3 linked regions of the Macaca mulatta genome follow. The protein of the gene in region 3 interacts with the protein of the main gene of each other region in a pairwise test. Links are inferred from orthologs where the notes say so. Each region holds a gene or a part of one and is shown on either strand. Other genes may lie near its edges.

Region 1 (4,623 bases), on a different chromosome or scaffold from region 3:
GGGACCCCCTTCCATGACTCTGTCCCCTGGGGGAGGTGGGACGGGGCTGGGCTTCCCTCTCATCCTCCCCCTCCCAATCTCCTTCCACCTCCCTCCCTCCCGCCAGCTCCACAATTTTTCGGTGTTTCTCTGTACATAGTTCTCTGGCGGGATAGGGGAGGTAGGATGGATGGGGTTTGGGGTGGGTAGGCCATGGGAGGGGAGAAGCCCCTCCTTGGCACCCCCTCTTCCCTGACTGCTGTCCCCTACCCAGCCTTGCTCCCTTCATCCTTTTGCGTTTGGTATTGAGACTCTCCTAGACTCTACTCTTTCTTTTGTATGGACAGTTTCCCTTCAGTCCCATCCCCCCACACATACACCCAGCCGGGGCCAAATTTATACTTATATAAAAGTTGTAAATATGTGAAATTTTATCCCTGTGCCCTTTCCCCACCTCAGGCCCTAGCCCTGGACCCTCCCCAACCTTCCTTCTCTCTTCTTTGGCTGTTGTAATTATCTGGGGTTTGTACTGTACATATCCGGGGTGTGTGTGTGTGGGCTGGGGGCAACCCTTCTGTACAGAGCTTCCTGGCCCCCTCCCCCCCCGCCCCTCTGCTTCCCTCCCCACCCACTACCTTAAGGGTAGGGAGATGCTCTTCCTACCTGTTTTATTTTGTTTTCTCGTTCTCCCTCCCCACCCCACTCCCAGCCTTATCTATCCCCCCCTCGCTGTCCCCTTTTCTCCACTCCCAGCCCCATTTCCTTTTTTTCTGGAGTGTGTGGTGAAACAGAAAAAAACATGTTTAATAAACGGAGATTGTTCTTTTATCGCTGTGCCGACTTTCTTAGGCAGGGCTCTCCAGACAGACCTGTACGGTGGTAAGATCTGCTTTCTGAAAGGAAGCTGACAGCCTGAGAGGAAAACCGTACATCCCCACCTGATGCCACACTCTCCTCATAAAATGTCACTCTCCCCTCCCAATGAGAGTTTTTATATTTTAGAGCAGGAGTTTTGCACTGGCCAAACTTCTCCAGTCTCTCCCTCCCCTCACCACTGTGTCACTTAGTCTGAGGCCAGGAACAGCGGCGTTATCTGATAAAAGAATTCATGTATATATCCACATTTATCTCTTTTAAAAATCACCTAGAAGTAAGGTTTCTTTAATTGCTGGTTAAAATGCTCCTGTGCAGAACAGAGGAAAGAACCTGCCTAGTTCCTTAGCAAATCTGAGATCCAGTCCCAGGTCCACTACTATTAACTGAGTGACGCTTCCAGCCCGTTTCCCCCGCCTGGAAACTGAGGACGGCAACCCCCATCCTCGCAGGGCCGGTGGGAGGACACAAGGTGATGTGGGCAAGTGCCAGGCCCACATGGTAAGTGCCCAACTAATCTTGCCCCTCTCAGGACCTACCGGGGGCGGGTGCTACACTTAATCACCGGGAAACGCAGCTTTCCGGGGCGGCTGACGGCCCGCCCCCTCCGACCGGTCTGTTCTCTCCTGGGACCTGGCTCTCGGTCCTCTGTAGCGGCGAGGACTTCGGCAGCTACCCCAGACGCCCGATACGCTGGCACCCTGAGCCAGCGCCCTCCTACTAGCACCGCCCTCCTCGTCTGCGGTAGCCAGTCAACACGAGGCTTGTAGGCTGCCCTTCCTCGATTGGCTACGCCTCTAGCTCCGCCCGCCGCACTTTGCGACGGCGTCCGGCGGGGAGGCGGCGGCTTCCGGCCTGGGACGGAGCTGTAGCGGCACTGTAGCTGCGAGGGCAGCGCCGCGTGTGTAACGGCGGGGGCGTGTCGGCGGGAAGGACAGCCGGGCCGGGACTCCCGGTGTCCGGGTGACCGCGGTTTCCCGGGAGCAGACCTCTGTGGGCACTGTGAGGCGGAACGGAGCGGCGGGGCAGGAGCTGTTCTGGGCAGGTGAAGACAGGCTCGTGGCTGAAGGACCTCCTTCGCATCTTCCACGGGGGCTGGAAGTTACAACCCCGGTTGGTGTTTGGTGGTGGTGGTGGTTTGTTTGTTTTTCTTTCTTGGTGTGCTGGACTGATTTGCAGAAACCGCCACTGACTTAAAAGTTTCCAGTTATTGCTCGTGGGGGGAGGGAGTTGTTTGAAGAGATGTGGCTCCCTTTATCCAGGGCTTCTGTGACCTCCATCTTTTTCCTTTGCAGCCTTCATCCCGCGTAGAGTCTACCCCCAGGCCCCTCTCGTCTTCCCAATTCTTCTCACCTTCGAGGAGGCCATGGAAACCCCAACGCCTTTGCCGCCCGTACCCGCCTCCCCGACCTGCAACCCAGCCCCACGGACAATCCAGATCGAGTTTCCGCAGCATAGCTCATCGCTACTGGAATCTCTGAACCGCCACAGGCTAGAGGGAAAGTTCTGTGATGTGTCCCTCCTGGTGCAGGGCCGGGAACTTAGGGCTCATAAAGCAGTGTTGGCTGCTGCCTCTCCTTACTTCCATGACAAGCTGCTTCTGGGGGATGCACCTCGTCTCACTCTGCCGAGTGTCATTGAAGCCGATGCCTTCGAAGGGCTGCTCCAGCTCATTTATTCAGGGCGTCTCCGCCTACCACTGGATGCTCTTCCTGCTCATCTCCTTGTGGCCAGTGGCCTTCAAATGTGGCAAGTAGTAGATCAGTGCTCAGAGATTCTTAGAGAATTAGAAACTTCAGGTGGTGGAATTTCAGCCCGTGGAGCAAACTCCTACCATGCCCTTCTTTCCACTACATCCTCTACAGGAGGCTGGTGCATTCGCTCTTCGCCTTTCCAGACTCCAGTACAGTCCTCTGCTTCCACTGAAAGCCCTGCTTCCACTGAGAGCCCTGTGGGAGGGGAGGGAAGTGAACTGGGAGAAGTGCTGCAAATTCAGGTAGAAGAAGAAGAGGAGGAGGAGGAAGAAGATGATGATGAGGACCAGGGGTCAGCCACACTCTCTCAGACTCCTCAGCCCCAGAGAGTATCAGGGGTTTTTCCCCGTCCTCATGGACCCCACCCACTGCCCGTGACTGCTACTCCCCGAAAGCTTCCAGAGGGTGAGAGTGCACCAGTTGAGCTTCCTGCCCCTCCTACTGCGCTGCCCCCTAAAATCTTCTACATTAAGCAGGAACCCTTCGAGCCTAAGGAGGAGATATCAGGAAGTGGAACTCAGCCTGGAGGAGCAAAGGAGGAAACCAAAGTGTTTTCTGGAGGGGACACTGAAGGGAATGGGGAGCTAGGGTTCTTGTTGCCTTCAGGGGCAGGGCCAACATCTGGGGGAGGGGGTCCATCCTGGAAACCAGTGGATCTTCATGGGAATGAAATCCTGTCAGGGGGAGGAGGACCTGGGGGAGCAGGCCAGGCTGTTCATGGGCCTGTGAAGCTAGGGGGAACACCCCCTGCAGATGGAAAACGCTTTGGTTGCCTGTGTGGGAAGCGGTTTGCAGTGAAGCCAAAGCGTGACCGGCACATCATGCTGACCTTCAGCCTTCGGCCTTTTGGCTGTGGCGTCTGCAACAAGCGCTTCAAGCTGAAGCACCATCTGACAGAGCACATGAAGACCCATGCTGGAGCCCTGCATGCCTGTCCCCACTGTGGCCGTCGTTTCCGAGTCCATGCCTGTTTTCTCCGCCACCGGGACCTGTGCAAGGGCCAGGGCTGGGCCACTGCCCACTGGACTTACAAGTGACTGCTGAGGCTATATACTAGCTTCTAGAATGAAATAACCACTGCTGCTGATGGGTACTTTTCCCTCACTACCATGGCACACCAGTCATGGATCTTGTAATCATGCCAAGAGAATAGATACATTGATACATTATGGACCTCTTGTTTTAAGATATGGGCCTCTCAGCCTGGCAGATGTGGAAACTCAAATTTCTCATCCCACTCCAGGTTTTGGCTAGCCAACCCTGCAGGAAAGCAGTTTATAGGCCATTCATACTTAAGTTGATCACTTGCCCATGGTGGACATTTTTGTAGTGGTGATGTCCATTAAGGAAACCAGATTTTCAATTATTTAGTGAGAGAAGAATTAGAGCAAAAGACAGTGGTAAATGTTTTATTCCGTCTCCATGAGGAATTAAAGGAGTTGGTCTCCACCTACGGATACATTTGATTTAGAGCTTGAGTAATTCAGAGGCTAAGCTCTAAACTTTTTTCTCTCTCATTGCTGGAATGATTTAAGCAGAATTCCTTTTGTGTACTTTTAAAATTGTATCTTTCCAGGAGCCCCTCAGATTGTACCTTGCTTTCTCACCAGTAGACACCTTTCCAACACTTTTTTAATGTTGTAGTTGAGCACTTTAACAAGTTGAGCATTCCATGTTTCATTCTTAGAACCTTCTTTAATAGAGGGTATTCCCTCAACAGCCTGTGCCTCTGGTCTACCTTTGACCACCACTGGTAACTCATATATTGGTCACAATGACTGGAATGTGACTAGTGATCTCAGGAGATGGCACTGTCCTAAAGTGCTCTCAGGGTGGCACCACTGCTCTCTGAACAAGTTGCCTTGGTCAGAGGGACTCAGGTTTGGGACAGCACAAGCTGAAGGCTGGCGAGTAACTTGCATAATAGGACCATACCTCTTCCTTTCCCATCCCACCCACATATGATAGACAGCCCCTCTGTGGAGATACGGAGGGGATAGATATTGGAATTGGGTGT
Region 2 (4,662 bases), on a different chromosome or scaffold from region 3:
CAGAAGAATTGAACAATACCATCAACAAACAGGATCTAATTGATATTTATGTATTTACATAACAGTCCACTCAACAACAGAATACACACACATTCAAGAAAAAAAAAAAAACTCTAAAGAAAAACTAAGAGAACCTGTCACAAGCAGACCGGCCCTAAGACAATCGCTGAAGACATTTTTTCAAATATAAAGGAAAGACAAAAGAAAGAAACCTAGAGCATCATGGAATGAAGAAAAAATAACAGAACAGAGAAACATACAGATCACAAGAGCAGTTTAATAGCAAAATGGAGATGACAGATGAAAACCGTAAAACTGTAAAGAAGGCCAGGCACAGTGGCTCACGCCTGTAATTCCAGCACTTCGGGAGGCAGAGGCAGGCGGATCACAAGGTCAGGAGATCGAGACCATCCTGGCTAACACGGTGAAACCCCATCTCTACTAAAAAAATACAAAAAATTAGCTGGGCATGGTGGTGGGCACCTGTAGTCCCAGCTACTTGGGAGGCTAAGGCAGGAACATTCAACAATATAGACCAGATGCTGGATCATAAAACAAACCCTGACAAATTTAAAAGAATTAAAATCATACAGATTATGCTCTAGCCATAATGTAATCACACAGAAAAATAACAGGAAAATCTCCAAACACATGGAACCTTAAAAACATACTCCTTAAAAATCCACAGGTCAGGCCAGGCACGGTGGCTCACATCCGTAATCCCAGCACTTTGGGAGGCAGAGGCGGGCAGATCACAAGGTCAGGAGATTGAGACCATCCTGGCTAACACAGTGAAACCCCGTCTCTACTAAAAAATAAAAAATAAAAAAAATTAGCCAGGCGTGGTAGGGAGCGCCTGTAGTCTCAGCTACTCAGGAGGCTGAGGCAGAAGAATGGCATAAACATAAAAAAAAAAAAGCTGTCAGTGAGCCAAGATTGTGCCACTGCACTCCAGACTGGGTGACAGAGCAAGACTCCGTATAAAAATAAATAAATAAATAAAACCACATGTCAAACAGGAAGTATCGAGGGAAATTCTTAAAATATGCTGAACTGCATGAAAATTAAAATATAACATAACAAAATTTGTGGATACAGATAAAGTAGTGCTTAGAGAGAAACTTGTGGCACTATTTATAATAGAAAATAAGAGTCTCAAACCAATCATCTACATTTTTGCCTCAAGAATCTAGAAAAAGTATAAAATAAATGCAAAGCAAGCAGAAAGAACGAAATTTTAAAAATCAGAAATCACTGCCTCAGGATCACATGGACTTTGTCACGATGTTACTGTTCCCCTTAACCACTCTACAGAGAACTACTCTACAGATTATTGGACATTATAAAACATTAAGTTTTCCATTTGAGATATTCTTTGAGGACCTGGGGACTGATGCCATCTGGTCTAAAGGACCCCACAAGCGGATTCACCAAAGAATGCAGTTTCCACACCCTGATAATTCCATGGCCCTTACCTCGACCAACTGACAACATCAATTTTCCAGCTCCTAACAATCCTGTTCCTTTCAAGACCCCAGCTCAGGCTGGGCGTGGTGGCTCATGCCTGTAATCCCAGCACTTTGGGAAGCCAAGGCAGGTGGATCACCTGAGATCAGGAGCTCAAGACCAGCCTGGCCAACATGGTGAAACACTGTCTCTACTAAATATACAAAAAATTAGCCGGGCTTGGTGGCGTGCGCTTGTAATCCCAGCTACTCAGGAGGCTGAGGCAGGAGAATCACTTGAACCTGGGAGGTGGAGGTTGCAATGAGCTGAGATTATGCAACTGCACTCCAGCCTGGACGACAGAGTGAGACTCCGTCTCAAAAAAAACCAAAAAACCCAGCTCAGATCTCCTTGGGGAGATGGATTGAGGCCTCCTTCCACCTCCCTGCTGGGCTCCTGCCAGCATTAAACTCTTTCTCTGCTGCAAACCCTGCTGTCTCAGTGTATTGGCCTGTGGCCCCACAGCACCTGACTGAACCTGTTGGTCCAGTTACACCTGCAGACCACACAGAGACATTCACAGGCTAAGAACAGAACCCCAGGAACAACTCTGCACACACACTCCACAAGTTAGCTCAAATAAGCCAACTCCGCAAAACCCCACACAGCCAAGACTCAAGGTGAACTAATAATACGAACGGTTCTCTGACAACCAGAGATACAGAATTGGTCATTTAAAAGCTTCAAAACCAGAAATTGACATGTCCATATGGTTTCACTGGAAAATTCCACAAAACATTCAAACAATGAGCACAAACTCTACAGAACCTCTTCTAAATATGAGAACACAACACTTCTCAACAGTTTATGAGCTCGGCTTCCCCCTGACGCCAAAACCAGACAAAAACAGGCCAAAAAGAAGGCAACCGGCCACCAACATCCTCAAGAAGGCCAAGCCCAACAATCAGCATAATGGGCCCAGGAGAACCCGGGAGAGGGGTCCCCAGCGGGAGGGCGGGCTGCGCTCCTGGAGAGCAAGGCTGGCTCTCTCTCCTCAGCGGATATAACCGCCAGTCACGGTACCACAATGACCCGATAGACAAGCAGGAGCCGCGACTCCGGGACCAGAACGCGGGCAGGGGCCGCACCTGGGCACGAGGGGCGGGGTCCTCACCTGGGCGCGCGCGCCCCGCCCTCCCGCCCGAGACCGTTCCGGACGCCCGCGGCGCCTGCGCAGAGGAGCCCCACCTGCCCACGGTCTGCCGCCCAGGCAACCAGGCGCGGCCGCCCCGGGAAGCTCGGTACCCACCCCCCGCCACCCTCACGCTTGCACCCCCGCCCGCTGGCGCACCCAGGTCGCGGTGAGGCCCTAGTCCGCTCTTCGCCCGGACCGCCTCCTCGCTCAGCACCAGCCGCGGACCAGCCCGCGCCATGTTTCAAACGAAGCCCTCGGACGGCGCCTGCGCGGCGGGCGGGGCAAGGCTAAGAGAGGGGCGGGACCTGCGTGGGCAGAACCAAGAGTCTGGCGGGACGGGGCGGGGCCTGCGCGGCGGGGCGGGGAGAGGGGCCGGGCTAGGGGGCGGGACCTGCGTGGGCGGAACCAAGAGCCTGGCCGGGAGGGGCTCCTGAATGGCGGTTCTCCCAGGCACTTGGCTCCGCCACCCCAGCCCCCGCCCCAGATAGCGCCGCGTCTAGGCTTCCCTGGGCGCTGCCGCCTTCTAGGCCCGGGTCCTTGACACACGCCGTGTCCTCCCGGGGAAAGCCCGAGTAGGCGCGGTGGAATCGCGGCTGCTGGTGCGCATGGGGACCCTTCCCCATTCACACTCCGCTCCCACCCTGAACCCCGCGCCCCGGGGATCCCCGACTCTCTTAGACTCCCCGCCACCCGACCCCCACGCAGGGACCCCTCCAGACCCCCCAGTACCCGCCCGGGGCCTTGTCTGCTGCACCTCCCGTCCAGCCCCGGGCCTCGCAGAGGTGGGCGGGAGCTGAGCTGCTCCCCAGCCAGTCACTCCCCACAGCCGGTCTTTCTGCACCCCAGAACCTCCAGAGATGTCACCGGCCCAGCGTTGTGGCTCATGGCTGACCGCGCCCTGGAGGGTCTCCCTGTGTTTATCCCTGTGAGGTCCTTCTACAGAGCTTTCAAGGAAGACAGAGTTCAGCCTGTTCATTGGGAAGACTTTAATCCCGCTCAGGACATCTACTGTGTCACTGTACCACTGTGACCCAGCGCCTCATGGAGTGAGTCCAAAGCCCTAGGGGTGTCCCCTCCCTGCCTTTCTCCTGGTGTCTAGGGGGCACCCAGAAACCCTCACCTCAGATTAGACCAGCTCATTGGCAACGTCCCTGGTATTTCACAGCCTGGGGAGTCATACACAAGGCAGGGTAGTGGGGGTACGTATGGTGGTAGTAGATGAGGGTATACACAGAGGGTGTACACAGGAAGTGTGTAGGGATATGTGTAGAGGGTGTACACGGGTGTGTGTGCACAGAGTGTGTATAGAGGGTGTGTGCAGGGGCTGTACACTGGGTTGTGTGCAGATGGTGTAGGGGAGTGTGTAAGGGGGTGTGTGCAGGGAGTGTGTGTGGATGGTGTAGGGGAGTGTGTAGGGGGTGTGTGCAGAGGTTGTACACGGGGTGTGCAGTAAGTGTACTCAGAATGTGTGCAGGGAGTGTGTGGATGGTGTAGGGGAGTGTGTAGGGGGTGTGTGTGGATGGTGTAGGGGAGTGTGTAGGGGGTGTGTGCAGGGAGTGTGTAGGGGAGTGTGTAGGGGTTGTGTGCAGGCAGTGTGTGTGGATGGTGTAGGGGAGTGTGTAGGGGGTGTGTGTGGATGGTGTAGGGGAGTGTGTAGGGGGTGTTTGCAGGGAGTGTGTAGGGGAGTGTGTAGGGATTGTGTGCAGGGAGTGTGTGTGGATGGTGTAGGGGAGTGTGTAGGGGGGTGTGTGTGGATGGTGTAGGGGAGTGTGTAGGGGGTGTGTGTGGATGGTGTAGGGGAGTGTGTAGGGGTTGTGTGCAGGGAGTGTGTGTGGATGGTGTAGGGGAGTGTGTAGCGGGTGTGTACAGAGGTTGTACATGGGGTGTGCAGTAGGTGTACTCAGAATGTGTGCAGGGAGTGTGTGCAGAAGGTGTACATGGGGTGTATGCAGGAGGAGTGTGCAGAGGGTGTACACGTAGGGGGTGTGTGCAGAGAGTATACACAAGGAGTGTGTACAGAG
Region 3 (4,765 bases):
TACTGCCAAAGGAGTGTTATTAAATCAAACTCCTAACTGGGTTTGCTGTAGATCCGCTCTTGAATGATGATGCCTTCCAGTTATCCCATCCTCTTCCCCACTGGATGCTGTCATCTTCTGACTGCCACCTCACTGCCTTTGATTTCCTAAGGACTCTGGCAACAGCTTTGGGCTTCCTCTCCACCCTCACTCCTGCCATTACCTTGAGTGACCTCACCATCTATCTTGAGGAATCTCACAGTTCTAGGTCTCTTTCCCGAATGTCATGCTCTCTACTCCAAGCTACCGGCCCCGGGGGCACACAATGCAACTGTGCCACTCAGAACTAGTTCAGTCTCTGGCTATAACCTCCTGTCCTTCCAGCTTTCTCATGTCTCATTCCCACAGTACTGGCTCTCTGACTTCACAGAACCTCCCCCTCGACCCCAGTCCCTTTGTCCTGCTACATTCACCTAGACCACCAGACCTCTTTTCACCTTCCCACTCTGGACCCCATGCTCGTTCATCTGAACTGCATTCCCACTGGCCCTTGTAATTCCCTTGTGTTGCTATCGTCCTATCATAACTGCCTAACAAAACCTCAACCACGGCTTAAGGCTGCACCTAGCTCTTTTCAATCCTATATTGTGCCAGTTGCATGGTACCACGTAAATCAGACTGTGAATATTATGTAGTCTACAAATTCATGGCCTTTGATCTCAGTCAGGCTCCTAGCCCTGAGGGCACTTCTTTTACTTTTGTTTCATTCCATCTCCCATTACAATATTCCAGACCTTTATCACTCTCCTCAAGATGCCTACTGACTCCCTGCCCCTCCATCTCCTTTCCTATGACCTCAAGCATAAGGTGTCCCTGCTCCCCTTAGGTCCTGGATTCCATTTTCTCCTAAATCTCACTCCTCTGTACCTTTACCTCTTTTACTTTACTGGATCCTTCAGCTTCACTCCCAAGTTTTCCCCATTCCAAAGAAGCAAAGAAAATAAAACTTTCTCTTAATCCTCTGTCCTCCTCTATCTACCATCCCATTTCCATGCTTTTCAATTAAAACTTTTCAAGAAGTCCAAATTACCACTTCCCAGTCAGTTCTATAGTCACTGCAATCTGGCTTTTGTTTCACTGAAATCACTTTTACCCAAGGCCACCTCTAATTTCCAAATCTGCCGTGCTTGATAGACTATACCCTCTCTCTTTAAAACATTCTGGTCTCTCCTGCCTCTGGCCACCATTCTGCACTCCCTCTATCTGTCTGCCTTTCTCTGCCTGTCCTAGATCACATCCTCTGCTCTCTGCTCTTTTAATTCTATAAACTCACCATGGATAACTGCATACACTCTAATGGGCGCAACTACCATCTATAAGTTAATGACTCCTAAAACTTACATGTACAGTCTAGACCTCTCCCTCAAACTTCAGACTCAAATATTCAACCACTTCCTGACTACATCTCCACTGAGATGTCCCACAGACACCTCAAAGCCAATCTATCTGAAAGTGAATTCATCAGTCTCATCCCTGCTCCTCATGTATCCTTGATGTTAGCCTGCAGGACCTGCAACAGGTTAGAAATCCAATCCAGAAAACAGAATGATCGTTGATCCTCCCTCACCACCCCTCCCCAACCCAATAAATCACTAAGTCTTGACTATTTCACATCCTAATGTTTACAGAATCTTTTCTCTTTTCTCAGTTCCCACAGCCACTGCCTTAGGTCAGTCCACCATCATCTCTCACCAAGACTACCACAACAATCTCCTTACAGGTCTTTCTGATCCTTAACAGTCCTTTTTAGCACCACATATAGCACTCTCCATGATCTGGTCTCTGTTTCTGTTTTCATTCTCACCACTTGCCATTCTGCCTTGAGTTTTTGCTCCAGCAACACTACACTGCTCACATCATGCTGTTTCCCACCTCAGTGCTTTTGCTGCTGGACCCCAAGTTAGGAATGCTTTAACCTACCCTCAATGCTCATCTTGACCTCTGCCTAATTCGTCTCCAGGAAGCCCTGTTCCCCAGCTAAATGAAGCACTTCTCTCAATTTCTATTATATCCCATACACATCCCTCAACACTACATTTAGTACAGTGCTTTATGATCACTAAGCCTTTATCTTCGGGAGCTCCTTAAGGCCAAAATCTTTTTTTTTTTTTTTTTTTTTTGAGACAGAGGCTCGCACTGTCGCCCAGGCTGGAGTGCAGTGGCACGATCTCGGTTCAATTGCAACCTCTGCCTCCTGGGTTTAAGCGATTCTCCTGCCTCAGCCTCCCGAGTAGCTGGGATTACAGGCGTGCACCACCATGCCTGGCGAATTTTTGTATTTTTAGTAGAGACGGGGTTTCGCCATGTTGGCCAGGTTGGTCTCGAACTTCTGACCTCGTGATCCACTCTCCCTCGGCCTCCCAAAGTGCTGGGATTATAGGCGTGAGCCACCGCACCCAGCCCTCTGTCTTATTTTTATATCCTCAGCGCTTAGCACTGTGCCTGGCACATTTCTGTTCAATGGATGAATGATTCCTTCCCCGATGGAGGGCATGTCATTCTGTAAGCACTAAAGTGAACTTTAAGGACCATAATCAATGTGTACTTCTTATTACTGGCTTTTGATAAGACCCAATTTTAGAGCTCTAATAACCCCTCAAAATAGCAGCCCTAAAGTCATCGCCTCCGAGGAACTATCCCCACCAGATTCCATTACCCATCAGGGCGCTCCCTGAACCGTAGCCCAATGTATTCCTACAGATGGAATCGATGGGGCCACTGTGGGGCCACTGGCTACCTGCTGCATTCGTCCCGGACTCCGGAGATGGACTGTCTGTTCCCTCCCTTCGCTCCTCACCCGCCCCCATTCTCCTGGATCGCTCTGGCCGCTCTACCTTTCCCCGCTTTTCCAGAACCACTTTTTCCTTTGGGCGGCATCTTGGAAGCTTGTTGTTGAACTCTGAACTACTCCAGTTGCCGTTCAAGCCCCCTTACACCGCCATGGGCATGTCCTAAACAAATGCCTGAAAGCCGCATCTCAATTGACCGTTCTTATTGAGGCTCCGGAAGCAGGCACAGCTCGGGGCAGACCCTGTCCTTTGGCTCTTGGACCAATGGGGCTGAAGATGTCTGACCAATAAGACGCTTCGGGCCGAAACAAAGGCGGAGGGGCGGAGACAAAGGCCGGATTAGGGCGGGAAGCCCCGCCTCTGCGCTTTTTGTGACTTCTTTCACGCACCGTAATTTGCACCAGATCCCCCACTCCCCACGCTCTACCCCCGAAACCTCCAAGCTTTTTTCACGCTTGCGCAGTAGGAGCCGCGGGGGCCTCTGCAGTCCCTCGGCGCCAGCTCTGGCCAATCCCGCGGGGCCGCCAGACGAAGGGAAGCAGGAGGAACAGTGGTGGCGGCTAACTTCTGCTGTCTCCTCCTACACATAGGGTTGTCCGCCCTGGCAGTTTTTCGTTTGTTAATTTTATTCTGCAGTTGTAGCTAATTGGGTTCAAAAGGTAGTTTTTTAAAAAGCCTGTTACCCTTTTGCCTCTTGCAGAGCTCAGTCATGGAGAAACATTGGAAGCAGTCTTAAGTGCTCCTCAGTCGGGTACTGCTTAAATAATGTTTTAGCCACACAAAAATATATTATACAACATTCAAAATAACGGTTTTGAACAGATAGGGGAAATGTTTTTTTTTTTTTTTTTTTTTTGAGAGGAGTCTCGCTTTGTTGCCCAGGCTGGAGTGCAGTGGCCGGATCTCGGCTCACTGCAAGCTCCGCCTCCCGGGTTTACGCCATTCTCCTGCCTCAGCCTCCCGAGTAGCTGGGACTATAGGCGCCCACCACCTCGCCCGGCTAGTTTTTTTGTATTTTTTAGTAGAGACGGGGTTTCACCGTGTTAGCCAGGATGGTCTCGATCTCCTGACCTCGTGATCCACCCATCTCGGCCTTCCAAAGTGCTGGGATTACAGGCTTGAGCCACCGCGCCCGGCCTGGGGAAATGTTTTTAAGACCAAGATAAAGAATATGATTCCTTGTAAAAGAAGTATATGTAATGCACTGTATGGTATATGAATATAAAGGAGAGGAAAGCTATACAGCAAGATGTGGCCAGTGGTGCTACATACAGGTCATCGTGTTTATTTCTGTGTATTTTCCAAAATTTCCATAATGGTGCAGCATAATGTAGTAAAAGCATGGATTCTGGAGCCAGATTGACCAGTTTCAAATCCCTGCTCCAAATCTGTCTACTAGCTCCATGACCTTGAGGAAGTTACTTCACCTCTCTTTGGCTCAGTTTCATCATCTGTAAAATGTAGTCGATGATAATAGTACCTACTATTATCCTATCAGGTGTTAAGAGAATTAAACAAGTTCATATCTGTAAAGCACATAAAATGATGGCTTTCTCATATTAATAGTGTTTGCCTAAGATAAATGATTTTTGAATGTGTGCCCACACACTTTTTCTCCCCTTACAATCCCTCCCACCATCAATAATTTGTATATGATATGTCAGGGCGTTTTCTCCACTCCATGAGAGAGCTGTCCTAGCTTGCCACTGCCAGCCAGAATGTAGAGGTCTTCCAGCTCAGAGTTTAGTTTCTGGATGCAGCCTTGCTGGACCTGGAGATGCTTCATGCTCATACCAGGGACTCAGGTATTTCTGAGATTGTGCTCATCCCCTACTGAAGACATAACATGGAGCCCCCTTATGTTTGGCTGCTATAAATTCTGGACACATTTTGGGCACTCCTTGTTTCGGATTGGGAGTGATCAACTGCAGAGGACA

Evidence for each region.
Region 1: the proteins of PIN4 (region 3) and ZBTB9 interact in binary tests that used the Homo sapiens proteins (3 or more experiments, as listed by UniProt). The two-hybrid records come from large-scale screens. The link is inferred for Macaca mulatta from reciprocal best matches to the Homo sapiens genes PIN4 and ZBTB9.
Region 2: the proteins of PIN4 (region 3) and CEP72 interact in binary tests that used the Homo sapiens proteins (3 or more experiments, as listed by UniProt). The two-hybrid records come from large-scale screens. The link is inferred for Macaca mulatta from reciprocal best matches to the Homo sapiens genes PIN4 and CEP72.

What each region holds. Positions count from the first base shown.
Region 1 is NC_133409.1:148,823,386-148,828,008, reverse strand, and holds the start of ZBTB9 (zinc finger and BTB domain-containing protein 9), read left to right. Parts: upstream 1-1,697; 5' UTR 1,698-1,897; exon of another isoform or gene 1,898-1,965; intron 1,966-2,147; 5' UTR 2,148-2,218; coding exon 2,219-3,643; 3' UTR 3,644-4,623. UniProt on the Homo sapiens protein: May be involved in transcriptional regulation.
Region 2 is NC_133411.1:1,701,419-1,706,080, reverse strand, and holds the start of CEP72 (centrosomal protein of 72 kDa), read right to left. Parts: upstream 2,927-4,662; 5' UTR 2,880-2,926; coding exon 2,798-2,879; intron 1-2,797. UniProt on the Homo sapiens protein: Involved in the recruitment of key centrosomal proteins to the centrosome.
Region 3 is NC_133426.1:78,727,059-78,731,823, reverse strand, and holds the start of PIN4 (peptidyl-prolyl cis-trans isomerase NIMA-interacting 4), read right to left. Parts: upstream 2,946-4,765; 5' UTR 2,917-2,945; coding exon 2,874-2,916; intron 1-2,873.